7 linked regions of the Xenopus tropicalis genome follow. The protein of the gene in region 1 purifies or fractionates together with the protein of each later gene. This does not show direct contact. Links are inferred from orthologs where the notes say so. Each region holds a gene or a part of one and is shown in the gene's direction. Other genes may lie near its edges.

What was found.
Region 2: the proteins of slc30a4 (region 1) and pds5b purify together in Homo sapiens (affinity purification with mass spectrometry; 3 studies listed by BioGRID and IntAct, counting the BioPlex papers as one, with this or other methods). This does not show direct contact. The link is inferred for Xenopus tropicalis from reciprocal best matches to the Homo sapiens genes SLC30A4 and PDS5B.
Region 3: the proteins of slc30a4 (region 1) and c19orf25 purify together in Homo sapiens (affinity purification with mass spectrometry; 3 studies listed by BioGRID and IntAct, counting the BioPlex papers as one, with this or other methods). This does not show direct contact. The link is inferred for Xenopus tropicalis from reciprocal best matches to the Homo sapiens genes SLC30A4 and C19orf25.
Region 4: the proteins of slc30a4 (region 1) and stx8 purify together in Homo sapiens (co-immunoprecipitation; 3 studies listed by BioGRID and IntAct, with this or other methods). This does not show direct contact. The link is inferred for Xenopus tropicalis from reciprocal best matches to the Homo sapiens genes SLC30A4 and STX8.
Region 5: the proteins of slc30a4 (region 1) and mettl9 purify together in Homo sapiens (co-immunoprecipitation; 3 studies listed by BioGRID and IntAct, with this or other methods). This does not show direct contact. The link is inferred for Xenopus tropicalis from reciprocal best matches to the Homo sapiens genes SLC30A4 and METTL9.
Region 6: the proteins of slc30a4 (region 1) and cip2a purify together in Homo sapiens (affinity purification with mass spectrometry; 3 studies listed by BioGRID and IntAct, counting the BioPlex papers as one, with this or other methods). This does not show direct contact. The link is inferred for Xenopus tropicalis from reciprocal best matches to the Homo sapiens genes SLC30A4 and CIP2A.
Region 7: the proteins of slc30a4 (region 1) and fut8 purify together in Homo sapiens (co-immunoprecipitation; 3 studies listed by BioGRID and IntAct, with this or other methods). This does not show direct contact. The link is inferred for Xenopus tropicalis from reciprocal best matches to the Homo sapiens genes SLC30A4 and FUT8.

Annotation. Positions count from the first base shown.
Region 1 is NC_030679.2:104,579,779-104,583,452, reverse strand, and holds part of slc30a4 (zinc transporter 4), read left to right. Parts: intron 1-194; coding exon 195-343; 3' UTR 344-3,674. UniProt on the Homo sapiens protein: Probable proton-coupled zinc ion antiporter mediating zinc import from cytoplasm potentially into the endocytic compartment. Controls zinc deposition in milk.
Region 2 is NC_030678.2:153,120,988-153,125,285, reverse strand, and holds the start of pds5b (sister chromatid cohesion protein PDS5 homolog B), read left to right. Parts: upstream 1-1,442; 5' UTR 1,443-1,526; intron 1,527-3,987; exon of another isoform or gene 3,988-4,083; intron 4,084-4,298. UniProt on the Homo sapiens protein: Regulator of sister chromatid cohesion in mitosis which may stabilize cohesin complex association with chromatin. May couple sister chromatid cohesion during mitosis to DNA replication.
Region 3 is NC_030677.2:99,423,954-99,428,115, forward strand, and holds the start of c19orf25 (UPF0449 protein C19orf25 homolog), read left to right. Parts: upstream 1-1,233; 5' UTR 1,234-1,284; intron 1,285-2,279; 5' UTR 2,280-2,320; coding exon 2,321-2,450; intron 2,451-3,019; coding exon 3,020-3,210; 3' UTR 3,211-4,035; exon of another isoform or gene 4,036-4,077; 3' UTR 4,078-4,162.
Region 4 is NC_030686.2:49,416,054-49,420,420, forward strand, and holds the start of stx8 (syntaxin-8), read left to right. Parts: upstream 1-1,435; 5' UTR 1,436-1,450; coding exon 1,451-1,467; intron 1,468-4,367. UniProt on the Homo sapiens protein: Vesicle trafficking protein that functions in the early secretory pathway, possibly by mediating retrograde transport from cis-Golgi membranes to the ER.
Region 5 is NC_030685.2:25,156,943-25,161,188, forward strand, and holds the start of mettl9 (methyltransferase-like protein 9 precursor), read left to right. Parts: upstream 1-1,426; 5' UTR 1,427-1,524; coding exon 1,525-1,683; intron 1,684-2,346; coding exon 2,347-2,537; intron 2,538-3,196; coding exon 3,197-3,406; intron 3,407-4,233; coding exon 4,234-4,246. UniProt on the Homo sapiens protein: Protein-histidine N-methyltransferase that specifically catalyzes 1-methylhistidine (pros-methylhistidine) methylation of target proteins.
Region 6 is NC_030678.2:103,689,998-103,694,235, reverse strand, and holds the start of cip2a (protein CIP2A), read left to right. Parts: upstream 1-1,359; 5' UTR 1,360-1,438; coding exon 1,439-1,540; intron 1,541-3,219; coding exon 3,220-3,367; intron 3,368-4,238.
Region 7 is NC_030684.2:119,798,946-119,803,416, reverse strand, and holds the start of fut8 (alpha-(1,6)-fucosyltransferase), read left to right. Parts: upstream 1-1,518; 5' UTR 1,519-1,558; intron 1,559-4,471. UniProt on the Homo sapiens protein: Catalyzes the addition of fucose in alpha 1-6 linkage to the first GlcNAc residue, next to the peptide chains in N-glycans.

The DNA of each region.
Region 1 (3,674 bases):
ACTTCATGGCCACTATCATTAACTGTAGTATTTCTGTGCATATCTGTCATATGTGGTGGGGACAAATAGGGAACTAAACTCTAGTTTATAACCATAGTGTGCTTTGCAAAAACCTAGAAAAAAATCAAAGGAAGAAAGCAAATCATGATAATGCTGGAGAAATTACTTTTCTAACCACTCATGTTTTCCATCAGGTCCTGATGCCTCATCAAAGTGGGAGGAAGTGCAAAATAAAGCCAGACATGTACTGCTGAAAACACATGGAATGTACAAATGCTTCATTCAGATACAGAGTTACGGGCAAGAGGAGAGCACCCGTTGCACTGACTGTTCCAATGCCTAAGTCCCATGGACTGTTGCCTTACAACTGACACACTAGGTGTAGGACACCCAGAGCAATACATGTTAACCTTAAAATCCTTACTATGAAGCAGCAGTGGCTTGCTCTCTCTGTCTCTATATATAAAGGAGAAGCACATTTTCTTATTGGAATCTAGAATCTTTATAGACCAAAAGAGAATAACCTTTCTCTCTGCAGTATTCTGCTGAGGCCGTGTAGACCTACAACTCAAATGTTTACAGAGTTAAGCAAGTTTGCACATAAACCTCATGTTTTACGCTATAGCACAATAAGCCCATGGCATGGATAACAGTATGTTATTTGAAGCAAAGCAATTGCATAGATTGCCATATTTTAAGGGTAAGCTAGTTTTCTATGTGCCATTTTCACAATCTGCGTTGAAGTGCTTAAAAGGGTGGTTCACCTTTAAGGTAAATTTTGGTATGTTAAAGAATGGCAAGTTCTTAGCAACTTTTCATCTGGTCTTCATTTTTTTTTTATCAAGTTTTAATTATTTGCTTTCCTTTTCTGACTCTTTCCAGCTTTCTAATGGGGGTCACTGATCCCAGCAGCCAAAAAACTATTGTTCTTTGAGGCTACAATTTCATTGTATTATTACTTTCTATTACTCTTTCTATTACTTATCATCCTATTCATATTCCAGTTTCTCTTACAAACCACTGCCTGGTTACTAGAATAATTTGGACCCTAGCAACCAAATAGCTGCTAGAATTCCAAACTGGAAAGCTGCTAAATAATTAAAAAAAACATGAAGCATAATAAATGAAGACCAATTGCAAATTGTTTCAGAATAGCACTCTCTACAACATACAAAAAGATATTTTGAAGGTGAACAACCCCATTAATTTCATGTAGACTTTCATATAGGGGTATTATGGTTTCCTCCCACTGAAAACTAAATTACTGCATGGCCAATAGTATTGTAAATATCATCCCACTTTCCTTGGTATTAAGCATTGTGCAAAGTATTAGAGTGGGTCAGTAAGAGAACATTACGTTACTGCGTATTACAATCCTAAATAGTTTGCTGATTTCTGGCTTACTGGCAGAGCTCAGATTAGAATTTAAGTTTACATGTATATGTGACTGGATGATCAGTGATCACAGGAACAGAATTCTTGTTGGTACCAATACAACAGTATGGTGTTGATTTTGAACCAAGTGTATGTGATAAGCTGCTGTTGCCATTTTAAGAAGCAGAAAAGTTGTCACCTTATCAGTGTTCTGTACTTTGCACTTATGTTCTACTGTTTATAGATTGAAACTGACACAACATTGCTGCTGTTAGTCTTTCATGTTCTGGCTCTAAATGTGAAAGATCTAATTAGAATAGACTGAGGTAAAAAGCGAAGGGAAGCCACATAAAGCAGGCAGGATGTTACTCCTGATTTAGGTTGCAAAGGTTTATGACAAAAGTTCTTTTCCAGGTACTTACCTAGGTTATAATTTAGGTGGACATGGTTTTAACAGGACTTTCTTCTTCTTTATAACCTCCTTTTGTTTTTCTAAATATACCAAGCCCGTTTGGCATCGCCAGAGGTTCCTCTTCCACCTTCTCAGGACCCATGAGTCTGCAGCCGTTCTGAAAGTGCCTGTAACTTGGGACTGTATTTATTTATATTTTATTTATACAAGACTTCATTCACTTGCCACTAGGCTTCCTGTGAGTAGAGCTTCCGTTCTCTAGCCTTTCTATGCACATCTCTCCTGTGTGGAAAGTGACAGCATGCTGTTAGCCTAGCTGAAATGCAACGTCAAATATGAAAAGAAAAACAAAAGAAATTCAGAATTTGGAATAAAAATGTCTGAGCTAATTCAAAAGTACAGCAAAGCAACTTTTTAAATAAATGTAATTATATTTTAATCACTACGTGTATATAAAATAACTTCTGCTGGATCATAAAAGCAATTACATAAACTGCACATGTTTCCAACCCTGTATGTTATTTTTTGAGAAGTTCCAAATAATGAAACACTAAAATATTGACAAGAAATTAATTAGTGGTTTCTAAATAACCACTTTTTCCAGAAATAGTTTCAAAGGGGTTGTTCCCTTTTATTATGATGTAGACATTGATATTCTGCCAAATTTCTACCAACCATGTCAGTGCAAATTGCTCACTAATGCTGGAATCAGTAAGTTGTTCACATGCCCAGATTTGATCAGGCAGTTTGTCCAATTCCATATATACTGCCCGAGCCTCAAGATTGCAGGGGGGCCCCTTCACTAAGAATGTTATTGGCACAGGAAAGCAAGTAAAAGCAGGGAGAACCCCAGCACATTTGTGATCATTTAGATCATTCTGAATGTAGAGAACATTGGCTACGTTGCTAGAAGTATGGCTGCTGGTCTGGTATCATTACATTTGGCCCACAGGCTCTTTGGGCAGATACTGTAAAGGTCTGGCCATTGCATTTCCACCTGGTGAAATCTGAGTAACTCACTCACTGTAAGTTTAGCAGCTCACAATTTTTTAGATATATAAACAGCTGTAACTAAAACAGCCACTACATTTTTCTCAATTTTTTTTTTTTTTTTTTTTTTTTTTACAATAGTGACAGTTGCACTTTAAATCAGTGTCACAGCCTGTTAAATAGGCATATAGCATTATAGCAAAATAAGCAAATCTTTTGATACTGCTGCTGTTTTTACCCTGGGCATACACACAGGCTTTGTCTATGGCCAGACAATAATGTGTGCCTTTTTATTTTTACACATCCACCTTTAATATGCCTATAAAACTACATGCTCCTCAGGTGACATTTTTCACCACCTCAACTTTTTTCAGCAAAAAGGAGTGCACTTCATTTTAGATTTGCACCACAGAATTGTGCAACTGCTGTGAAACAAGAGTATGATACCCAGTTATTAAGCAACACTTTTAGGAATTCCTGTCCGCTAACTCTGCAGCCTTATTATATTGTTCTTGGGATAACAGGCCACCTGTTATGTTTATTTGATCTCTTTGGGGATGTGACTGTTCCTTCATTTCATTTGTGAGCATTAAATTCTGACACCAATTTTTCAAAAACACACAATAGTATAATTAGGCTGTATATACTTGTGTTTTTTAATGTAATCCTGTATTTTTCTGGATGTGGCTCCAATGAAATACCAGATAAAATATGCATTTTTTTTTTTCAATTTCAAAGTTTTGATGAATTGTTGCCTCTTGCCTTTCTTTCTTTACAAAATCTTATGACAGAATAAAAATGATTCTGTAACAAATGCACAGAGGGTTGTAATAACATATTTATTAATGTTTTGATTGCCAGAAAAATACATTTTAAAGAAGAATAATACATGTAAATG
Region 2 (4,298 bases), on another chromosome or scaffold:
TGGTAGACCTGGTTGGCATTAGACCCCCCCCCCAGTCCAATGCCTACTAGCAGGGCCAATGATTTGATCACACACTAAAGGATTTTAAAGTTAATCATTTGATTTTAAAGTAAACTTAATAAAGGTATTTTTAATAGGTCTTAGCTGGTGTGCCTTGACAGGTGTCTAACTATAGTGCGAGGTTAACTTCACTATTAACACTAAAGGTGGGCACACATGGGTCAATAAAAGCTGCAGGCTTTGGTTGGTATTGGCCAACATATGAGGCCCTCCGACGGGCCTACTCGACTGATATCTGGCCAAAAATAGGACAGCTTTGATTTTCACATGGGATAGAGGACCAGACGTGCACGTTGATGAAGTCCTCAATCTGACAGTCTGCATAGGAGCAATTATGATCCAATCATTTGGCCCGAGGGCCAACCAATCAGATGAGTTCAATATTTAATTGTGTGACCACCTCGCCAACTGAGCGGATCTTTCAATGCCTGGCCTGCTTTAGGCCTGTGGGGGCCAATCAGATGAAGACTGCTTCAATGCACCTTGTCTGATGGAATTTTCAAACCTGTCCGACTGCTATTTGTATGTATGTATGTATGTATAACTTTATTTATAAAGCGCCACAAGGGTACTCAGCGCTGTACAGTCTTACAGAATACACAATTACACACAGGGAGGACAAGTGATATAATAAATAAATACAATAAATACATATATGTATATATATATATAGGAACAGGTGAAAACAGGCACTCACGTATAATGAAGTAATAATTTGCCTGGGTGCAGTATAAAGTGAGCATACAAAATTAGAAAGAATATGCTGCACACTCAGGTCTTAGATGCAAAAAACAAAAAAAAATTTATTTGGATCAAGGATCGAGTCCTTGATCCAAATAAAAAAAATTTTGTTTTTTGCATCTAAGACCTGAGTGTGCGGCATATTCTTTCATTCTTTCTAATTTTATATATATATATAAATGCCATGTGGTATGAGAAACAGTAGGAAGGAGGTCCCTGCCCCGTAGAGCTTACAATCTAAGTGACAACATACACAGCTTTTATGGGCCCATATAGGGCCACTATTACTTAGCCATGTAGTACCTACATGCATAAGTGTCGCCTGTAACATGACAGATGGTTAGGGAATGCACTGACAGCGTCCCCCCGCTGGCACAGTAGTGGAATGGATTTGCCCTGTGGCTACTGAATACTTTCCATTCCACTAGTCAAACGGATTTCTCACTCGCCCATAGTTGTAGAGCGCCAAGGTTTCGTCACCGAGAGGGGGTGGATCTATGGCAGTTCCCAGTTTGGCCGCCTGGGGCCGCTGCATGACCGTACAGCGGGGAAGGCCGCGCTTATTCCCATAGCCGCTTCCATTGGAGCTGCCGGAGACAAATTGGCGCCATTTTGAAGCTCTGGGCAGGCTGCACGGAGCGGGATAACACGGACGGAGAGGAGAGCGGGGAGTCGGAGCCGGAGGGGAGGGAGTACAACGTACTGGCGAGCGGCAACATATAAAGGTAAGACATACGGTGCCAGGGCCGGCGGGCAGAGGCCTGTGTTCCGGTGAGCGGCCTCCCGGCTGAAGGGAACGGTGTGCGGGGGATGCGGGGAGCGGCCCGGGGGTACGGAGCGCTGTGCTGCCCTCACTCAGTGCGGGGAAGTTGTCTGTAATGCTGCGCAGTCATGCTGTTATGTACAGCGCCATCGCTGGCCCCTCCTGTCGCTGAACTACAACTCCCAGCATCCTCCGGCAGCCCAAGCCTGCCCAGGGGTCGGGGGGCGGGGGGAGAGGAGTATAGTTTCAAGACTGCTGATCACAAAGGCACTGGGTGCCCGGGGGTGCCCTGTATTGTTACTGGGTGCCCTGTATAGTCACTGGGTGCCCGGGGTTGCCCTGTATTGTCACTGGGTGCCCGGGGTTGCCCTGTATTGTCACTGGGTGCCCGGGGTTGCCCTGTATAGTCACTGGGTGCCTGGTATAGTCACTGGGTGCCCGGGGTTGCCCTGTATAGTCACTGGGTTGCCCTGTATTGTCACTGGGTGCCCGGGGTTGCCCTGTATTGTCACTGGGTGCCCGGGGTTGCCCTGTATAGTCACTGGGTGCCTGGTATAGTCACTGGGTGCCCGGGGTTGCCCTGTATAGTCACTGGGTGCCTGGTATAGTCACTGGGTGCCCGGGGTTGCCCTGTATAGTCACTGGGTGCCTGGTATAGTCACTGGGTGCCCGGGGTTGCAGGGCATATATATTCTGCCTGGATATTAGATGCCCAGCCTCTCACATTGCTGCTGTATGACTGGGCATGCTGGGTAGTTGTAGTTCTAGAAGTGGAGTGCAGGCATTCCTGGCCTGGATTGTCAAGATTCTAAATAATTAAAGGCAGCCATAACCCAGAGTGACTTTCCCTTTAATAGCTGTCCCAGTGTGGGTGCTGTACATTTGTCTGGCTGTGGGTGCTGTACATTTGTCTGGCTGTGGGTGCTGTACATTTGTCTGGCTGTGGGTGCTGTACATTTGTCTGGCTGTGGGTGCTGTACATTTGTCTGGCTGTGGGTGCTGTACATTTGTCTGGCTGTGGGTGCTGTACATTTGTCTGGTTGTGGGTGCTGTACATTTGTCTGGTTGTGGGTGCTGTACATTTGTCTGGTTGTGGGTGCTGTACATTTGTCTGGTTGTGGGTGCTGTACATTTGTCTGGTTGTGGGTGCTGTACATTTGTCTGGTTGTGGGTGCTGTACATGACTGCCTGGGCCATGTATGACTAGAATGCCAAAAACCCACTGGCACTGTTCTCCTACCTACTGCTCACCCCCATTTCTGTTCGGATTAGAAGCTTTACTTTGTGGCCCTTTGTAGCTATTTGATGGTTGCTGCGGCTGCATCTCCTTACTATATACTTTATGAATGGCATTCATTGGCTGACAGCTGACACAGGTCATTGACACTAGGGCTTGTGTGACACTGATATACTAGTGCTTGTCTGACTTATTTACCACTTGAAGCCCCGCCTCTTTGAGGGTCCAATCTTTGGCTGGGGGCCCCTTAGCTCATGGTTACTGATATAGGAAACCTTTGTGTATGAGTTTAACCATCTAGATTGGCATTCAGGTGTATCTAGGAGATCAAATAGGCTTTCCCTCAAAATCTTACCCTCACTTGCATTGATACTGAGCCCCTGCTCCACAGTTGGGCGCTAGTGATGCTTGGGCCAACAGTTTTTTTTTATTTTTGAAAGCCCGAGGTCGTGCTTTCTTCCTAAGTGCAAAAAGTGCGAAAAGTGCATCGTGCAAAAAACACACAAAAGTGCACAAAGGGTGCGTTTAGCTGCTAGCCCCTAAAGGGGCAAAGCTGCCATACTCGATTCCCACGTGGCCAAAAGGCTCGGCGAAAAAAGAGTCTTCGAACCCTCCTTTGCCGAAGCTAGGGAGGGTCCCTTTACATCCCCGACCCCCGGACCAAAAGGCTCACGGGGGCAAGGGTCTTCGGACTCTCCTTCGCCGCAAGGCTAGGGAGAGTCCCTTTCCTCCGGAATCCGCCGAAGCTTCCTCCGAGGTACAGTCAAGGCCGAAGTCTTGTCTTAGGTCGGGGAGAGACAGGAGCCAAAAGGCCACACAGTCCTCCCCTTGGTCCGTGGGGCATACCCAAAAGGGCAACTGCACCCTCAGAACCCATTCGAAAGGGTCACATAGAAAAAAGTGCAGTGACAAAACAAGAAGTGAATAAATATAAAATAAGAAAAAGAGTGCCGTGTATACGGCCCCAGCCTGACGTCCGGAATTTTAAAAATTTCTCTCTGCTCATCAGCCAAAAGGCCGGGGGCAGAAGGAGCGAGTGCAGCATAAAAACTTAAAGTGCCATTGTGCAAAGTGCTGTACTAGTGCAGCGTGAGCCACCACCTCACTGTGCTTGTTCGGGCACCCTGGGGTCGCTACTCCCAGGGCACGGCGCACCTCGGGCTTTCATGCTACCGGCCCTCTGGCCAGAGGATCATGGTAGACTGTCTTATATAGGGGGGGAGGAGAACCCCCTTAAGAACAGATACTACACTTGATCTTAGCCAAAGGGCCGAGAAGCGAGAAGCTTGGGCCAACAGTTACTTGACCCGGGGAAAGCCAAACCTGCCCCGTTTCGACCCGACCCACCATACTGCAACTGTTTACATAACTGCGCCCGACTCCCCCATCTCTAGATGTCACAGGAGGGGATGGGCACAAGTCTATAAAAGGAGTTAGACCTGGAGATAAATGGAGAAAAGAGATTGGTGGGGGTGTATATTTAAGCCCGCCCATAAC
Region 3 (4,162 bases), on another chromosome or scaffold:
AGGGAGCTCAAGCTCAGAGTTGCACAGAGACAGCCTCGAAACCTTAGGGATTTAGAGATGATCTGCAAAGAGGAGTGGACCAACATTCCTCCTAAAATGTGCGCAAACTTGGTCATCAATTACAAGAAACGTTTGACCTCTGTGCTTGCAAACAAGGGTTTTTCCACTAAGTATTAAGTCTTTTTTTGTTAGAGGGTTCAAAAACTTATTTCACTCAATGAAATGCAAATCAGTTGCTATCTTTTATTTAAAGTTATTTTTTCGATTTCCCTTTTGATGTGCTATCTGCCACTGTTAAAATAAACCTACCATTGAAATGATACTGTTCTGAGACTTTTCATTTCTTTGTCATTGGACAAACTTACAAAATCAGTGAGGGGTCAAATAATTATTTCCTCCACTGTATGCATAACTCAGATATCATGAAATAATTGACTGGTCACTATACTGCACCACTGTAAAATACCTGATAGAAAGGAGCATTTATGATGAAGTAGGAAACAGTATAGCAAATTTTCTTTTCATCTCTTGCAGTACTTCACAACATATACTGTATAGTTCTCTGACATGTCATGTCATGTGGACTGCCTATGCCCTGTCTCTGGTCACCATACGCCATTCCCCTGGGTTTTCCAGTTTCTCCATCAAATTCAATGCATGCATTGTCAGTAGGCATTCAGTGACATTAAAGGGAGCATGGGTGTGTGCACAGTGAGCATTTGGCAGCTTTAGCAAAGCTGATATATATTCCAGCTTGGTAAGATTCTTTAATAGGTGACGTAATTTGATAGAAATCATATAAAGAAACCTTCAAAACATGACGATCTGGCATTATATGGATTTGGGAATCCTATTAGTGGAGGAAATATAATGCCTATTATAAAATAAACTAACCGAGCCCTGGGTATCCAATAAAGACTTTTTTACGATATAAAGGCGCTGTATGCTGTTCTCGTAAATACACTAACATAAACATGTAACTAAATATTTATGCCCCTTTACAAGACTGTGTCAATTGCATAGTTTCACCACTAGATGTCGCAAGTACATACCGTAACTGCTTCGTTTTAGACAGGAACCTTCCAGTGATTGCCAATTGTCATAACCAATGAGATCTTACCTTTCCGCCCAGAGTGCCTTGTTATGCCAGGTCACTTATTGATGATGTCATATCTGACGAAGCTTTGGTGGTGGGGGGGTTACTGTGTAGTGGTGGCGTCCAGCCGGTGTACCTTTCCCTTGCCTGGTCTCTGGAACGTCATTTCTAAACGATCTGGTTGCTAAGTATGTTATGATTAACTTATTACTTATGGTTTCTATTCTTTGTCTGGAACTGTTCTCTTTCTTCAGGGGAATGTGAATATTTTACTTATGGAATTCGTGCTCAGGTGTTTTACAGACTTAGTTATGTTAAATGTTTGCCTTGTAAAAATACTTTATTTAAGGGATATATACTCTATGCAGTTTCCTTACATTGGTTTGTTTCTGAGCAGTGCAGGTAGGAGTGTTGTTTTCCCCTGCTGTTGATGCTTACATTTTTTTTTACATTCTATCACCCTACCCCAGCACTAAAGCTGGCCATACACGCACTGATAATATCATACGAAACCTCGACCGATATCGCTGGTCGGACCGGTTAAAAGATTTTGATCGGGCGCCATAGAAGGAGCCTGACCAAAATCTGCTGTCAGGGCTGAATCGGCAGAAGGAGGTAGAAATCCTATTGTTTCTACCTCCTTATCTGCTGTTTCAGCCCTGACGGTGTGTGGCGGATCTGACGATGTTTCGTGCGACCGATGGTCGCCAGATCGCCACGTGTATGGCCACCTTTAGTGACACATTTTTTCCATTCTTTGTAAGGCTACATAATGTATATCGCCTGCAGCATTACAGCAACCACACCAGCATCAAGTGGCATAGTCAATCTCTCAGTGCATCCCTAATAGTAACTGATACACAGGTTCCCTTTCTATTTAAATAAAATTTTCCTTTTTAGAAGGCAGGAAACCCTTATGCCTTGCATCCCCATAAATACAGCACTGCTAAACATAGGCAGTCCTTTATTCATGGGAGAGGCTGCAGGTCTCTGCACTCCAAGAGAGACAGAGACCTGTGGCAGTTCTTTCAAGCTTTCCCAGATGTAAATAACAAATATAATTGATATATTCCTTAGTTCCTTTCAAAAACATGTATTTTGTCCAATAATTATGACACAATGCAAACAGGAAAAAAAAACTTGATCTTCTTATTAATATTTTTAATTACTTTTCCGCTTTCAGTTAGGGAAGAACCTTTCTTTCGTTTTTGAAAACTTTTGGCTATGACCTCCAGAGCCAAGAAGCGAATTGTCCTTCCCACCCGACCTGAGCCACCCAGCATTGAGCAAATTCTCCAAGATGTCCATGGGGCTATAGCCTCTGATCCAGTGTTTATCTGTGACTTCAGTGATGGTAAGTAATGCTGGTTGATTTTCGGCATAATTAATTGCAACAATATAAATTAGGAAAGGAAATCACATTTTATATTTCACTGATAGGCCCTGAACCAATATACAAATAACAGCAAAAAATTCAGTGAAAATAAAACCACATTTTAATGGCTCAGAGATTTTCTCAAAACATAATACAAAACAGATTCAAATGTATACTATACCACACAGTGACAGGGTACATCCTAGTGCCTCTCCTAACGCGTTTCGCACAAAGTGCTTCATCAGAGGAGGCATTGTGTGCTGATGTCACTTCCCTTTTAAACCAAACAGCATATCTCATATACAGTGTGCAGGGTTAATGCTGTACCTTATATAGTGAGCATATATTACAAAAAATTCTTAAGATATACACATTTCAGATTTTAAAATTACCCTGTATTCAGCATAAGTTATATAACAATTCTTAAAACATACATGTTCCAGGGTCTAAAATTGCCCTGTATTCAGCATAGATTATACAAAACCACGGCATATCTGTAATAGTTAAGTCAGCCTCTTGTTTTCATGACACTCATTTTTGTCTTACAGATTCCTCGCTTTCCAATAATGCTACTTTATGTGAAAAGGAGAAGCAGTATTGGCAGAGCTGCAATTATGTGGATATGAACAACAAACTAAAGGAAGCTCTGATCCAGTTGAAGGCAAAATGTGATGTGCTGAGGTCTGCAGGGGAAAAACTAGAAGAGGACATTGAGAATCTGAGAGAGGCTACCATGTGAAATAACCCATGTGCTGATCTTTAAGTAATGCACATTTGGTCACAAAGATTAGCAGCATGCTGATGTAGATTCACTACATTGTCTACAATGTACTATTTAATACTAAACAGTAACTTTACTGGAGCACTGCTGACTTCTGTTAATAGACGTGTGAATATCTCCAAAGGAAATTTCTACAAGTGGTTTTGGGGAAGATTTATCAGTAGATGGACCCTGCTTTCTGATAATACTTTACAAATAATTTAGATATTTTAATTTGCATGTTTTGAATCAAAGGCCATTGATGTCATTAGAACATTGCCCACAGATAATGCACATGACATTTAGGTATCCAACATGTGTGCCACTAACTACTTATATGACTTCTCCCTGTGGTACTGTTTAGATGATGCCCATGTGGCTGCCAAAATACTCTGCATGCTAGAGCAGAATTGCTACCGTGGCTATGATGAGCACCGGGATAAAACTGCTGGAACACAGGCAATTGCTTGGACCACTAATGTTATCCAGTCCAGCCGAATATCATTCCTTATTGTGTCAGCTACCTCCCTGAATGACCCTTGGTTCAATAATGTCTCTGAATGGAGTCTGGTGAACTATGTAGATCAAGAAGCTGTAAAAGTTGTGCCAATCTATGTGGGAATAGATGAAGCACAGAGACCCCATAAACTACGCTTTCTGACTAGCCTTAACTATGATTCCAGTTACTTTCCCAACAGACTTCTGGCTAGCATGAAACCGAGAAACCGTCACTGACTATGCAAATGGGGATTTTTCTTGCTACGGCTGTGTGTGTGTGTGTATATGTATGTATGTGTATATATAATATATATATATATATATATATATATATATATATATATATATATATATATATATATATATATATATAAAAAATAAGCTTTATTGTGAACCGTAGCATATTTGAAAACAGGCCCACACCCCCATTGTC
Region 4 (4,367 bases), on another chromosome or scaffold:
TAAATAGTGCTGTCTGTGGCACCTTACAGCCCCCCTGGCATTCCCAGTACCCAGAGGCACAAACAGCCCCCCCAGCCCAATAAATAGTGACTGTCTGTGGCACCTTACAGCCCCCCTGGCATTATTCCAGTACCCAGAGGCACAAACAGCCCCCCCCAGCCCATAAATAGTGACTGTCTGTGGCACCTTACAGCCCCCTGGCATTCCCAGTACCCAGAGGCACAAACAGCCCCCCCAGCCCAATAAATAGTGACTGTCTGTGGCACCTTACCAGCCCCCCTGGCATTCCCAGTACCCAGAGGCACAAACAGCCCCCAGCCCAATAAATAGTGACTGTCTGTGGCACCTTACAGCCCCCCTGGCATCCCAGTTACCCAGAGGCCACAAACAGCCCCCCCCCCCCAGCCCAATTAAATAGTGACTGTCTGTGGCACCTTACAGCCCCCCTGGCATTCCCAGTACCCAGAGCACAAACAGCTCCCCAGCCAATAAATAGTGATGTTGTGGCCACCTTACAGCCCCCCCGGCATTCCCAGTACCCAGAGCACAAAAGCCCCCCCAGCCAATAAATAGTGACTGTCTGTGCACCTTACAGCCCCCCTGGCATTCCCAGTACCCAGAGGCACAAACAAGCCCCCCCAGCCCAATAATAGTGATTGTCTGTGGCACCTTACAGCCCCCCTGCATTCCCAGTACCCAGAGGCACAAACAGCCCCCCCAGCCCAATAAATAGTGATGTCTGTGGCACCTTACAGCCCCCCTGGCATTCCCAGTACCAGAGGACAAACAGCCCCCCCCCAGCCCAATAAATAGTGACTGTCTGTGGCACCTTACAGCCCCCCTGGCATTCCCAGTACCCAGAGGCACAAACAGCCCCCCAGCCCAATAAATAGTGACTGTCTGTGGCACCTTACAGCCCCCTGGCATTCCCAGTACCAGAGGCACAAACAAAAAGCCCCCCAGGCCCAAAAATATTGGACTTGGGGTCTTCGTGGGCCACCCTTACAGGCCCCCCTTCCTGGGGTCTTGGGCCCAACCCTGTCATTCAAACCACTGCATGTTGCTATGGTAAGTGCTACCCTAGCAACCATTGTTACAGGGTTACTATAATCCCATTTTCCCAGTGTTTTTATTCCTATCCAATCACTGTGGGACAGTGGTTCTGTTACTAAAGGAAAGGAGGAGCCCTGGGGCTGAGCTGTGGGGCAGGGTGTGAGCCAAGCACCAAATAAGAGTGTAAGCTCTGTGGGTGAGGGGCAGGCAGTGCGTAACAATAACACAGGGAGTGGGAAGTGATGTAGGGGCGGGGGGAGCAGAGGATTCTGGGAGTTGTAGTACAACCATACGCTACAGGGTTCGGAACCAGGAAGCGTTCGGCGCTATTGTCCCTCCTGCCCTCCCGTCGCACATGTGACACAAACAGGAAGTGGGGCAGCGGCCAGTCGTCACTATGGCACCGGATCCTTGGTGAGTGGGTCCCGGGGGGGGTAGGGCGGCCCCCCTGCTGCTCAGCTCCCAATATCCCCATCCCTCATTATGTAACCTCTAATTACTCTTAACGTGATGTTGTGCATGCCAGGCTTGTGTGCGCAGGCGTGTCAAGAGCGTCGTTGGGCAGGCTGTTGGGGCCAGACGTTGGTGCCATGTGGGGCCAGTGGGTGCGGGGTGGGTGGAGGCCAGTCTTGTGGTCCAGGGGTGGGAAGAGCCAGCTGTGTTTGGTCATCATGAGGCCATCGTGTGTGCCAGGGTGGGAATGCCAGTGTGCTGGTGCGGGGTCAGGGGAGACACAGTCTGTGTGGGTGCCAGGGTCAAGGTGAGGAGGCCAGTTCTGTGTGGTGAGGTAGGCAGCAGGTTGGGTCAAGGCGTCGCGGGAAGCACGTGGGCCAGCTTGTGCATCTCTGTTGGGCGCTTTGGCCCGAGCTGTGGTGCCATCAGGGGAGAGGCCAGGTCGTGATGATGTGTGTGATTTGTGGGTGCCAGGGTCAGGGGAGAGAGCAGTACTGTGGGGCATGGGTCGAGGGAGAGAGCCAGTCTTGTGTGGGTGCCAGGGGTCAGGGGGAGAGGCCCAGTTCTGTATGTGGGTGCCAGGTCAGGGGAAGAGGGCAGTCTGTTGTGGTGCCAGGGTCTCATGGTGAGAGGCCAGTCTGTGTGGTGCCAAAAGGCTGTGTGGGTTTTTTGCCCCATGGTCTGTGTGGCGCAGGCTGTGGAGGCCAGTCTGTGTGGTGCCAGGGTCAGGTGAGCAGGCCGTCTGTAGTGGGTGCCAGGTCTTGGGGAGCCAGTCGTGTGGGTGCCGGGGTTCAGGGGGGAGAGGCCAGGTCTGTTGTGGAAGGTGCCAGGAGTCAGGGTAGAGGCCAGTTCTGTGTGGTCCACGGGTCATGGAGAGGCCAGTCTGTGTGGTGCCAAAAGCTGTGTGGGTTTTTTTTGCCCCATGTCTGTGTGGTCCAGCTGTTGAGGCCAGTCTGTGTGTGCCAGGGGTCAGGGTGAGAGGCCAGTCTGTGTGGGTGCCAGGGGTCAGGGGAGCCAGTCGTGTGGGTGCCAGGGGTCAGGGGGAGAGGCCAGTCTGTGTGGGTGCCAGGGGTCAGGGTGAGAGGCCAGTCTGTGTGGGTGCCAGGGTGAGAGGCCAGTCTGTGTGGGTGCCAGGGTCAGGGAAGAGCCAGTCTGTGTGGGTGCCAGGTCAGGTGAGAGCCATCTGTGTGGGTCCAGTTTCAAGGGGAGAGGCCAGTCTGGTCCAGAGTCAGGGTGAAGCCAGTCTGTGTGTGCCAGGGGTCAGGAGAGCCAGTCTGTTGGTGCAGGCTGTGTGGGGGCCAGTCTGTTGGGTGCCATGGATCATGGGAGACCAGCTCTGTGTGGTGCCAGTGGTCCAGGTGAGAGCCATCTGTTGGGCCAGTCAGGGAGAGGCCAGTCTGGTTGGTGCCAGGTCAGGGGGAGGCCAGTCTGTGTGGGTGCCAGGTGTCAGTGACGAGCCAGTCTGGGCTCCAGGGTCAGGAGAGCCAGTCTGTGTGGGTGCAGGTTCAAGTGAGAGCCAGTCTGTGTGGTCCAGGCTGTGTGGTGCCAGTCTGTGTGGTGCCAGCTGTTGTGGGGGCCAGTCCCTGTTGGGGTCCAGGTCAGGTGAGCAGGCCATCTGTTGGGTCCAGCTGTGGGGCCAGTCTGTGGGGTCCAGCTGTGGGCCAGTTCTGTTGGTGCCAGGGCAGGTGAAGGCCAGCCTGTGCGTGCCAGCTGTGTGGTGTGCCAGTCTTGTTGTCCATGCTGATGTGGAGCCAGTCATGTGTTGCCAGGGGGTAGGTGAGAAGCAGTCGGTGGTGCCAGGGTTCAGGGGAGAGGCCAGTCTGTGTGGGTGCCAGGGGCCAGGGAGAGCGGCCATCTGTGTGGTGCCAGGGTCAGGCGTTGAGAGCCAGTCTTGTGGTGCAGGGCAGGGAGAGCCAGTCTTGTGGTGCCAGGGTCAGGCGGAGAGCCAGTCTGTTGTGCGGGTGCCAGGCTGTGTTCCAGTCTTGTGTGCGCTGCCAGGCTGTTGGGCCAGCTCGTGTGGGCCAGGGTCAGGGTGAGAGGCCAGTCTGTGTGGGTGCCAGTCTGTGTGGGGCCAGTCTGTGTGGGTGCCAGGCTGTGTGGGGCCAGTCTGTGGGGTGCCAGGGGTCAGGTGAGAGGCCAGTCTGTGTGGGTGCCAGCCTGGTGGTGCCATCTTGTGGGTGCAGGCTGTTGAGGCCAGCTGTTGGCTGCCAGGGTCATGGTGAGAGCCAGTCTGTGGTGCCGCTGTTGCTGCCAGTCAATGTTGTGGGTGCCACTGTGTGGGTGCCATCTGTGTGGTGCCAGGGGAAAAGGCAGTCTTGTGAGTGCCAGCTGTGTGAGTGCAGTCTGTGTGGTGCCAGCTTGTGTGGGTGCCAGGGGAGAGGCCAGTCTGTTGGTGCCAGGGTCAGGGGTGAGAGGCCAGTCTGTAGGTGCAGGGGTCAGGTGAGAAGGCCATTGGTGTGCAAGGGCAGGAGAGCCAGTCGGTGGTGCCAGGTGATGAGCCAGTCTTGTGGTGCCAGGTCAGGGTGCAGATGCCAGTCGTTAGTGCCAGGGTGAGCCAGTCGTTGGGTGCCAGGGTAAGAGCCAGTCTGTGTGGGTGCCAGGGTTCAGGTGAGATTGCCAGTCTGTGATAGTGCCAGGGGGAAGGCCAGTCTTGGTCTGCCAGGGGTCAGGTAGAGCCATCTTGTGGTGCCAGTTGAGAGCCAGTCTGTGGGTGCCCAGGGTACAGGTGAGATGCCAGTCTGTGTACGGTGCCATGGTGAGAGCCATCTTTTGTAGGTGCAGGAGAGGCCAGTTGTGGTGCCAGGTCAGGATGAGAGCCAGTCTGTCGTGGGTTGCCAGCTGTGTGCTGGGCCAGGCTGGGG
Region 5 (4,246 bases), on another chromosome or scaffold:
GACTGGGAATGTGGTGTTGAAAATGATACTTTAGAATGGTAAATAGTTCCACCTGTTAAGCACTACTATAGTTGTCTAGGATATTATCTATAGCTATGTTCAAACGTTGTGTCTTGGATATTATTTCTGTATCTTGATTTTTTTTTTATATGATTTTTGGTGTTAGTATAAAGGTCTTTGTCAGTTAGCAATGCGTATTTGTGTTTTTCTTTATATGTATTTTTATCTGCTCCTAACTTCCAAACTGTCCCACTTGAGTCATACATTTCTTGGTTCCTCATGAGAGACCCAGGGCTAGTTAAAGGCTTGTCAATGATTTGTTAACTAAGGCTGTTTTTCCTGCAAATTGGGGAAAGTCTTGTAGACCAGTGCAGGTCTGGACTGCGATTTAAAATAGGCCCTGGCATTTCAGTACAGAAAGGCCCAAACAGCCCTCCCAACAGCCCAATACATGACTATGGCATCTTTCAGCAGCCCCTCTGGAATTTGCCAGAACCCACAGATTGCCAGTATGGGCCTAGACCAGCGGGTTCTCACCTGTCAGTGTCATTTTGACACAAGTTTCTCCAGATCAATTGAAATTCTATTTTTATAGAGAAATGAAAATATTAAGAGTAAATATTGTAGTGTGAGATCCAGTGCCATTTCTGCCATAAAGTAATGGGAAAGCCTTACCCTTTCTAACTTTCAAATGGGGGGGGTTTCCACTGACCCAGCACCTAATAAAAACCACTGCTCTGTGAGGCTGTAATTTTATTGTTTGTTACTTTTTATTAATTATCTTTCTACTGAGACCCTCTCCTATTCATCATCCAGCCACTCATCCGACGTGTCCTGATATGTTGTGCAAGTATTGGGCCAAGCCCACAGGGCCAGGGGTTTCAGGCCGGCCTGCACATCACTATGATAGGTTACAAGCCTGGCCAGTAAAAGTCATGCTTTATGTCAATGTTGTTAATAGGGAAAAAAATAATAGAAAGACTGTAGTTTTTCCCTTGAAATAGTTGGCAACCCTCCATCTACCTCAGGTGGATTCACATAAATCTGGCCAGTCATACTTACTCACTGACAGACCCACTATAGCTCAATGATAACTGGACATGTACATCCAGCAATATGTCATTTTTACCTACAGTTTTCCCCACTGCCCAGAGGCAGAGCACATGCCCTTCCATTCTTAAAAACTGTCCCTTCACACATCCTCAGCCTAATCATATAGTCTATAAACCAATGAGAAGCTGAATACGCGGTTATGCAGTTTCTCGTTGGATCCCAGGACCGTGCATGATAGAGAAGAAAAGGCCGTGCTAGAGCGGCTGATCTGAGCTCTCGCTTGTGCACTGTGAGCAGCAAAGGAATGAGGTCCGGGCGGAAACACTGTTTCCTCTGCACAGGTTCCGCTCCTTTCTTTATTTTTCCATTCTCTCCACCCCTCTCTTGTATTCCACTCCTCAGGCTGATGTGTACATCCCGCTGGGCCATGGCCTGCTCCGGTCCCGGACGAAGTGAGTGGGCGCTGCTCAGATGAAACTGTTCGTGTGCTGGATAATTAGCTACCTGCTCTGCCTGGCCGGGCTGAGGAAGATGTGGAGTGGCCGGTACCTGAGGAGTCACCTCAGCAGATCCCTGTACATGAATATGATGAGCCACAGCCAGGCCCCGTACTGGGATGGGAATCAGCAGGTGTGTAATGTCACTCTGGTGGGGGGCAGGAAAGTAGTGACACACCTAGTACACTAATCAGCCCCCCCCCCCCCAACCCCTCAGGTGTCCAGTCATTAGCACCCCCATCTTCTGTCTAGTTCAGAGATCAGCAACCTATGGCAGTGTTTCCCAAACTGTGGGGCCTGGAACAGTGGCAGGGGGGCTCAGCATGCTGGCAAGTTAGGTCAAGATTTGAGGAGCACACTGATTTGCTTGCCTAGATACAAATGAAAGCCCAGATGTAAAGGTCTGTTAAAGTGAGATACGGTGCCCTACATTTGTCAGAACTGAGCTTTGTAATCTAGAAATATCTAAAAGCCTGATGTAGATTTGCCATCTCTCAACTCGCACTGCTTGTTTGGGCACAACTTGCGTGGGATTTTGAAACTGAAAAGATTAGGAGTGGTAGAATGGCAAGGTGCATAAGAACAACCAGATAGTACACTGAAATAAGGGGGGGTGGTGAATTCATTGTAGCAGCTTTTAAAGGGCACGTAAATTCAAAATTAAAATTTTGCCTAGTAGACAAAAACTCTTATCCTAAATCTGAAGTTCTGTATAATGCCCCTTTCAGTTTGCTTAGTTGCTACAATAGGTTTATTGTTTTAGATTTGGACATTAACGTTTGTGCCTCCTTTGCAGTGGTACTTTTGCGACACAGAAAAATTAAGTGATTGCCTTCGGCCGGTTTTCATCCAGAGTTACTTAGACCATGGAACCCAGACATTCCTGAACAGAAGTATTGAGAAATCTGGCTGGCTTTCCATTCAGCTCTACCATTCCTTCATGTCCTCTGTGTTCAGTATGTTTATGTCCAGAACATCAATCAATGGGTAAGTTCTTTACTTCTTGTATATGAAGAAGTGCTGTCATGTATATGCATTTCTGTTCACTCACCCATTGTAACATTAAAATAAATAACCCAAAGGATAGTATCTTATCTTTAATGCCATAATTTACTATATTAGAATTGCACCATTATATTATATTATATAACTGTTACCACTAGTTTGCAATGTAATGTTTATGTGTATAATGTTACTCAAAATAACAAAAATAAACAGAACTGAGCATAAGCTACCATATACCGTATCCATATAATTTTACTGACATTGGTAATAAACACTGTCTCTTGGAAGCTCAGACTTAGGTAGAGTTATTGAAAATGGGATAAAAATGTAGTTGGCTACGAATAATAAATAAGTTAAATAACTTATGAGTGGTGTAATCTGAGGCCCAACAAAGTTTCAGTGTACCCAACTGTCAGGCCCACATGTCAAAGGCAACAGGCTGATCAATCAGATCTGTCAGGGAGTAAAGAGTGTCTGCAGCTCTTTCTTCTTTATCTACCACCAATAAAGTGAAATTTTCAGGTTGAACAGATACATTTTTTGAAACTGAATAGTTGCTATACATGCCCTGATGGTCAGGCAGTATGGTCAAAATTGGTCAAACCTGGGTACATACAGCTAGCCTTTTCCTCTCTTTGCAGGTTGCTTGGAAGAGGGTCAATGTTTGTGTTTTCACCAGAACAGTTCCAAAGGCTTCTCAAAATTGACCCCGAGTGGAAATCACATCGCTTGTTGGATTTAGGTGCAGGGGATGGGGAAGTGACTAAAGTAATGAGCCCTCATTTTGAAGAGATCTATGTTACAGAAATGTCTCAGACTATGATATGGCAACTTCAAAAGAAAAAGTACAGGTCAGTTATATAAACAAATTCTGTATCAGGTGTGTATGGAACACTTAGAGATCACTGGTTGTTTGCTGTTGTTCCTCGATAAGTGTATAGTTTAAAGAGAAACATCTCCTTTTTACTAGTTTACCTTAAAATGCGTATCCATCATCCGAAGGAACCAATTATCTGGGTATAACTGATACCTGGAGCTTCAGACTATGACTTAAGCAGCGCTGGATGTTGGGCTTTTCTTTGCTTAAATTCAGGAAGTTGGGCAGGAACTTAGCTACCAGTTCTGATTATTATGGTTGCAGAAGAAAGTTTGGGAGTTTTTACTGCTGAAAACGTTAATCTCTTAAGGAAAAAAATATTTTCTTTTTTCCAGAGCACTGGTTCCTGGGCATTGTATGGATACCATGGAAAGCCATGGAAAGCTGTTAGGATCCCTAAACAAAAATTTACTTCAGCCAGCTAAGCTTAGACAGTCTGCTTAGGTGCAATAAATTAATAATTTGATGTCCCTTATATGGTAGTAAGCAGCTACTGTGAATATTAGATGTAAAAGCAGTATGATAATATGAGAGGGAGCTGCCAAAATACTGATAGAGATGTATTATTATTATTTGGCACCATGCTTTAAGTCTTAAGATACAATAATATGATCTGCCTCAACCCCCTCAGCTAAGGGAATAAGTATGTGAGTTTCTTTTTATTCTTCATGATACTTATTCTGGGACATATAGATATTATAAGCATGTTTTACACAGTAATGCCTGTTATGCCTGAGATATAGATGGTAAAACTGTAACCTGTTTGTCCCTGACATAAATGAATTCTTTTCTCATATCTAGAGTGCTTAATATT
Region 6 (4,238 bases), on another chromosome or scaffold:
TATTGGTATTCATTTTGGGGGTAGAGTTTTCTTAAAGAAGACAATGTTTATTAATTTTATTAATGAATTTGTTCATTCAGGGAGCCACATAACTGACATATGGGCACTAGACAAGTGAGCGGAATATGGCTTACTTTACAGCATTTGAAGATACAAAAAAAACATATATCCCTGTCTTCCCTATACACCCAAGTTATATATCCACTTTAAGGACCACTGGCAACAGAGAAAGACTACAGCCCCGATCTTAGGTGAAACACCATTAAAAAGGGTTAACTTGCACCCCTTCCGCTGTGGTACAACCCCCTCTATTCCTACTTTTTAGATTGGCGGCTACAAAGGAGTGCATGCATCACGCTGTGACGCACATCGCCATACTTTGGCTGCCTGAGTAGAATGTAGAGATTTCTAACAGTTTAAATGTACTTGTAAACCAGGGTTGCCAGATTTATTTTTCCAAACTAGCCAAAGTCACTTCTAAAACCAGCCCAAAACTAGCCCAAAACTAGCCAAAAGCCTCTTTGAAAGTAGCCCAAAAATAGCCCAATATGTGCAATGAAAAATGCAAAAATGCTACCCAGTTACTGGGATGGCTGATAATTCCCTGCCCTCTGTGCCCAGTCCAGCTGGGAAGTCACTACAGAAATAGATTCTGTTACATTCTGTTACATTAACCCCAGACATGATATACATATGGGTGCGTTAAACTACAACTCTCAGAAGCCCCAAAGTATCCCAAGAGGTATAGCTTAAGGACCAAATGCAGAACTGCCCCCACATCACAGTAGAAAGTAATAGTACAATCACATACCCTATAGAGCTGCTAGTTGCAGAACATACAGGTTGAGCCTGAAAGACTAAAAGGGAATACAAAACGTAGCCTCTGTCTATACCAGTTGCATGCTGGGTATTGTAGTTTTATATTAATCCTAGCTGTAGGCTAGTTGTTAGATACAAACTACATTACCCAGCATGCAGTGAAACAGGCACACTAGGGGGAAAAAAAACTTTGGCAAGTTTCCTAACAACAAACCCACCAAGGCTCCAAAAAATAACCCAAAACTGTATCTTTGCGGGTTTGTACTTTTGGAATCCGCCAGGACTTTAAATTAGTAACCCAATTTGGCAACCCTGCTGTAAACGAAAGAGGGGTGCGGATGAGCGACTCCTTCTATAGTTGCACCAGTGATATATTGGCATACATACTTCAACAATATAGTTAGTTCTACGCGGACTAGTACGTTTCGCTCGACCAGCACCTGACAAGTATGCCTTTCGTCATATTCTGTCCAAATCAGGCCACCGTCGTGACTCCACATCCGACGTCACATCCTAGCTTCAACCAAAATGAAAGCTTAGGGCGCGAAATCTGACTTGCCAGTGTTGGTACATTCAGGTTTGGTTCTGAGTCAGTTTTGAACCGGGGTCTGTGAGGGCTATGGATGCCACGTCGTGTATGAAGAGCCTTCTACTGGCTGTAGCGCAGTACAAAACATGTAAGAGTGACAGTAACGGGGGAGTGCTACATCGGCAGCTGGAGGTGAGAAGCCATATCATTAGCTCTGTGTTGCCTGTGCGTTGCAATAGCTGGAACAAGAATAAATAAGTAGATATCTCATATTTCATTCTACCCTATATAGTTTATTTTACAATATATAAACCAGTGTTTGCTACAATTTTTCTAAAAATACTGTGAAAGTGGCATGCTGATTCTAAGTTGTATTTGACATGAAAGAAATGATTCCATGGGATGGTCCACTGGCTTGTGCAACTTGCTTCGGAGTGCCAACTCCTCCATTGCTTACTAAATGTATAACCCATATGCTGCACAATTCAACAGGGTTTGTGCAGCAGCAACACTAATTTCTTTTATTTCTGTTTAGTATGTACAATTATTGCTTAATAGCTGTAGATCATTGGTACAGTTGCCAGGGGTAGTTTACCTTTAAGATAACTTGTAGTATGGTATAGCATGCCTTTTGCCTTCTTCCAGATTTCAAATGGGGATCTTTGACTCCAGCAACCATAAAAATTTTGCTCTGTGAGGCTACTGTTACTTTTTGTTATGTTTCTGTTCATGCCCACTCCTATTTATCTTTCAGCCTTGACTTGGTTGCTAGAGTAAACTGAGCCCTAACAACCTGGTAATTCAAAAGTTGCAACATATAAAAGATGAATACAGAATGCAGATTGTCTCAGTATTAAAGTATGACTCTACATAATACTAAAAGGTTGTTCAAAGGTGAACTACCCCTCTAGGGGGGATAATTCTGGCAGAACCCTTGGTAGCAACTGCAATAACAGTTGGATGAAGGTTCCTTTTACGTTTTAGTTGTTCTTTTTTCCATTGGGCTTTAGTACACCCTTACACACTAAAGTCTCAAAATTTTGAAAAAGCTTTGTTTCCAAAGAAGCAATGCATCTTGCTACAGATGCCTGTAAGCTATGTGAGTATTGTTCCAAAGTGCTTAGAAGGGCAGCTAAATTTGACTCTTGGCTGCTGTCAATAATCACAGGCAGGAGCACTGATCAAGGCACCTAGATTGCCCAAAAGAAAGGCTAAGGCTGAGCCAAATAAAGGAGAAGGAATGGTATAAACTAAGTAAGCTTTATCAGAAAGGTCTATGTAAATACAGCCATAAGCACTTACAGAAATGCTGTTCTGAGCCCTGAGTCTGCTTAGCTCTCTCCTCTCCTGCCTCCCTCTCTATAAGAATGCTAAGAACTCCCTCCTCCCCCCCTTAGGAATGTGTGATCTGAGCCAATCAGTGGGAAGCTCCCTCAACGTCTTACAAACTGCGCATGTACAGGGGTCTTGGTGCAGGAGCGAGGCATTATGGGAATTTTGTTTACAGAGCTCGGGTTTTTTTTTTCCCTATGAGGCTTTTGATCATCTGAACAGGCAAAGTATGGGAAGACTTAAGAGCACTATTGAGAGAACTGAAAGTATGCCTGTAACTTGAGATTAACACTATATTAGCCTTTCCTTCTCCTTTAAGGACCCTAAATTGCATATGTCACTTTCAGCTGTCCATTTCTTTAAAGTCACTTCAGTTCAGCTGAACATTAGGAGCTGAACTAAATCGTGAAACTGAATCCTGGTTTTGGTACATCCCTTATAAATTGCTTAGTAAAATTATAGAAGCTCTGTTAACATGTATCTGATCCATCCATGCAAGGTAACAGAAAGTTTGATATGTTTGCCTTATATCTTTAAAGGTAATTATTGGACTGAACCTGAACAAATTGTTTGCATCCAATCAAATATTACCAAGTGAATGTTTGAGCAGTCTTGTTGAGCTTCTCGAAGACCCAAACACCAGTCCTGCTATTACATTGAAAACCATTAATTTGATTTCTAGTTTAGGTAAGTTCTGGATTCAGCCAATGCTTATGTTTTCTTTGTGCTGTGTGGGTGATGGCACATGGGGTACTTTGTCATCTGCAGACAACAAAGCACCTGGAAATACCTTTCTGCGGCAGTGAACGGAAATGGCCTAGATTGCACAATTAGGTTAAAATAAGCCCAAAGACAATTTTGTGTGATTACATGATACAGATGTTTTACTTGTGGCATTTTCCATTCACTGTCACATAAAGGCATTTTCACATACTTTGCAAACTGTGGGAATCACAATTTAACCATTGTGCCTTACAGTTATTTATGTTTTTTTGAATAGACAAAATACACCTTTGTTGAGTCAAAACCTAGTTGCTAGCAATTGTCCTGTAAATTCAGCTGCCTTTTTTAACATAAGCCATTCAGTTGGTCTTATGTAGAAAAGTTTATCAAACACTATATGAACTTATTTTTATAGTTACTTAAAATAAGGTAGTGTTTACACACCCTTTTTATAAATGCTCAACTGAATAAGTTTATCAAAAAGTGGGGTATATTTTCTTTTTAAGGAAAATAATGTATTTAGTCAGATTATCTGTTTAATACCCCCCAAGTAATGAACTTTTCCTTAAAAATATGCCTAAAGGACAGGAATTATTTAGGTAAATGAAAGTTCCAGACACACTTCAAAGAACAAAACAAACCTGAAAGGACACATTAGATACATTATAAAACAAAGTAGGATAACATTATGCAACAATAATCTGTTGAGAATAATATTTTTTAGCAGCGCTTTTGTTTATATTATGTTATTTCATTTGTCTATGCGCAAAATGTGTTTGGGAAATAAAGTAAAACATTTAGAGGCATATTTCTAAAAAAAAAAAGTGCTTAAAAA
Region 7 (4,471 bases), on another chromosome or scaffold:
CATGTCTATAGATGAGCGGTACAGTATGTAGGAAGGTATATAAGGTGTAATACCTGTAGATATGACAGCATGTCTATAGATGAGCGGTACAGTATGTAGGTAGGTATATAAGGTATAATGGCTGTAGATATGGCAGTATGTCTATAGATGAGTGGTACAGTATGTAGGTAGGTATATAAGGTATAATGCCTGTAGATATGGCAGCATGTCTATAGATGAGCGGTACAGTATGTAGGTAGGTATATAAGGTATAATACCTGTAGATATGACATTATGTCTATAGATGAGTGGTGCAGGTACAGTATGTAGGTAGGTATATAAGGTATAATACCTGTAGATATGACAGCATGTCTATAGATGAGCGGTGCAGTATGTAGGTAGGTATATAAGGTATAATGCCTGTAGATATGACAGCATGTCTATAGATGAGCGGTACAGTATGTAGGTAGGTATATAAGGTGTAATACCTGTAGATATGACAGCATGTCTATAGATGAGCGGTACAGTATGTAGGTAGGTATATAATGTATAATGGCTGTAGATATGGCAGTATGTCTATAGATGAGTGGTACAGGTACAGTATGTAGGTAGGTATATAAGGTATAATACCTGTAGATATGACAGCATGTCTATAGATGAGTGGTACAGTAGGTAGGTAGGTATATAATGTATAATGGCTGTAGATATGGCAGTATGTCTATAGATGAGTGGTACAGGTACAGTATGTAGGTAGGTATATAAGGTATAATGCCTGTAGATATGACAGCATGTCTATAGATGAGTGGTACAGTAGGTAGGTAGGTATATAAGGTATAATGCCTGTAGATATGACAGTATGCCTATAGATGAGTGGTATAGTATGTAGGTAGGTATATAAGGTATAATGCCTGTAGATATGACAGCATGTCTATAGATGAGTGGTACAGTATGTAGGTAGGTATATAAGGTATAATGCCTGTAGATATGACAGTATGCCTATAGATGAGTGGTACAGTATGTAGGTAGGTATATAAGGTATAATGCCTGTAGATATGACAGTATGTCTATAGATGAGTGGTGCAGGTACAGTATGTAGGTATATGAGGTGTATAGCTATGACAGTATATAGGAGGCTATAAGCACAAGTAATATAGAAACGGAAGGAAGCAGCCCTGCTGTAGCCCAATTGCAGGAGGGTATGTCCCGGCTCCACTAGCACCCATAGCACCCAGCGGTACACAGCAATGTATCTCAATACGGTGGCACCCAGTTACAAAAGGTTCTGAGCCTAAGGGTGCCCGTAGCCCTGAACTTTGAAGAGCGGACGCCCAAAGTGTGTGGGTCCCTATGAGCCCCTGCTGTAAGGCAAGAGGGCATCCTGTAGACGCCTGCGTTTGTCCCCCCCGCCCCTCCGTATCGCCCCCGTTGTTCGCTTTGCGCCTGCGCATTGTCTCCCTCCCCGCCCGCTCCCTCCTCCTGCCCCTGCCTGGCTGCCAGTATCTGAGCGCTCTCCGCCCGGAGCTCGGCTTCCTGTCTGCTCTGCAAGCACCGCTATCCTACAGGCTCCCGGAGACATAAGGTACCGGCTGTGCCGGCCTGGGGATGCTCGCAGGGAGGGTTGGGAAGGGAGTGGGTGGCTGCTTACAAGCTGTACGTTATATAGATGTGTGTGTGTGCGGTGCTGGGTCTCACTGGCTGTACAGTAGGGGAGTGGGAGACACTGGGCTGCTTCCTAGGATGACAGGGAGCATTGGCACAGCTGGCCATGTATATTCCTGCCAGGGCTTTTACTTTGTCTTCATGCTCTACTGATGGAACTTGCATGGTTCTGATACCAGTGTGGGTACTGTGTTTACACTGTGTGTTTGTGATGTGCTGGGGGGCAGACAATATGCCTGCAGTGCTGGGTGCTCTATTTACCCTCTGTGTTCCTATTGTGCTGTGGGTACAATACAGTGAGGGTGCTGTGTCCCTGTGTTACATTGGGTCACATTAGGGTGCTGGATATACCATGCATGCCTGGGGTAATGTGGCCATGGCTGGGTACTTTGAATAGATTGTGTATGCCTTGGGGCGCTGTGAGTACACATTGGCCCACTGTGAGTACACTACACATGAGGCTTCTGTGAGTACACTATGGGGGCTCTGTGAGTACACTACACATGAGGCTTCTGTGAGTACACTATGGGCCACTGTGAGTACACTATGGGCCACTGTGAGTACACTACACATGAGGCTTCTGTGAGTACACTATGGGGGCTCTGTGAGTACACTATGGGGGCTCTGTGAGTACACTATGGGGGTGCTGTGAGTACACTATGGGGGCTCTGTGAGTACACTATGGGGGCGCTGTGGGTACACTATGGGGGCGCTGTGGGTACACTATGGGGGCGCTGTGGGTACACTATGGGGGCGCTGTGGGTACACTATGGGGGCGCTGTGGGTACACTATGGGGGCGCTGTGGGTACACTATGGGGGCGCTGTGGGTACACTATGGGGGCGCTGTGGGTACACTATGGGGCCGCTGTGGGTACACTATGGGGCCGCTGTGGGTACACTATGGGGGCGCTGTGGGTACACTATGGGGGCGCTGTGGGTACACTATGGGGGTGCTGTGGGTACACTATGGGGGCGCTGTGGGTACACTATGGGGGCACTGTGAGTACACTACACATGGGGGCACTGTGAGTACACTACACATGGGGGCACTGTGAGTACACTACACATGGGGGCACTGTGAGTACACTACACATGGGGGCACTGTGAGTACACTACACATGGGGGCACTGTGAGTACACTACACATGGGGGCACTGTGAGTACACTACACATGGGGGCACTGTGGTTTCATTGTGCCTGCCTGTATTACTCTGTGCCTGCACTATTGTGGGTACCCTTTCTATGCCTTGGGTTCTTTATGTACAGTCTGTGTGTTCTGTGTACTTTGGGTTCCCAGTTCATGCCTGGGGTACTGTGTGTGTGGGCATTGGGTGTACTGTGTATACACCGTGTGTGGTTGGCCTGCTTTGTTTACAGTATATGCCTGGTGAGCAGTCTTTGCGTTGTGATGTGTGTCTGATGTAATTGTGTCTATGGCATTAGTTAAGCTGGGCACAGCTGGTACGTTATGCCTATTGCATTAGTCTGCTGATCCATGTGTACACTGAGTGTGTATGAGCTGCTGAGTTTGCCGGGAGTGTGCTGTGACAATGACAGAAATGTAAATGCAGGTGGGGCAAGTGCTGATGCAGTTCTGTACACACTGACCCAGAGGAAGGAAAGCAAACTCCCCAGCTGCTGGTTCAACCTGACATGTTCCTCTATGTACCTGGGGGTTGGGCAGCACTTTGAATCACTTACAAGTGATTGTTGGAAACTTATATTGTATTTAACTTTTAATTGCAACTCATCAGCACCCTTACTCGTCAGTACGTGACTGCCCTTACAACAAAATGACCCCTTTAGGTGCTAATGGTGAAACCTCCTTTACTCTGCTTTCAGTGGGTGTGAGTGCTGCTGAGGCCGAGGGGCTGTGAGAGTGCTGCTGAGGCCGAGGGGCTGTGAGAGTGCTGCTGAGGCCGAGGGGCTGTGAGAGTGCTGCTGAGGCCGAGGGGCTGTGAGAGTGCTGCTGAGGCCGAGGGGCTGTGAGAGTGCTGCTGAGGCCGAGGGGCTGTGAGAGTGCTGCTGAGGCCGAGGGGCTGTGAGAGTGATAATTTACAATCACTAGAGTATCTGTGCCAGAGTGCTTGCAGTGCCCAATTGATATTTTGGGCACATAGGTATGTGCAGTATGTACTTTTCTTATTGTGACAATATTGTGTGTTATCAAACTGCTTAGGTAACACTTTGCTGGCAGCGTGTAGGTTGCACATAGTGTTGTACCTGATGTGCTACTTGAGCTGGGCACAATGTGAGTAACTGCCTGACAGTTATTATAAATCACCCTGGTAAAAGTTTGCTTATAACATTAACTATAGTTTCAGCAGTTGCTGTTCAGCAACACCAGTCCTGTGAGCATCTTTCTGATCTTGAGTTCTGTTGTGTTTGTATAATTACAATTACACCCCCTCATACCACTATATCTGCCTACAGCCCACTGAATGTAACAGATTGGACTGACAGCCTGGCAGAAACCTGGCAGAATATCTCCTCTTTCTTATCCAGCTGATAATGTATAACCAGCATTGAGCTTGAATTACCCAAATGTTGCCAGTGTTTACCCTTACCTGGATTTTCTGTTCCAATGTGTACAACCTATTTATTTTGTTGGGACTCGGTTTAGAAAAACTTTAAAGGTGAAGTTTACCTTTTAATGAGATGTCTTAGACAGAAGTAATGTAAGCAGTTGTGTTTTTCTCAGTGTTCATATAGCAATTATTAATTAGTTGCCTTTTTAACCCTCCTACTCTCCAGTCAGAAAGTTTGCAGTTGTCTCTGGTTGCTAGGTGCACTGGTCCCAGCAGTCCCACAGATGAAATAGATAGTATTTAGG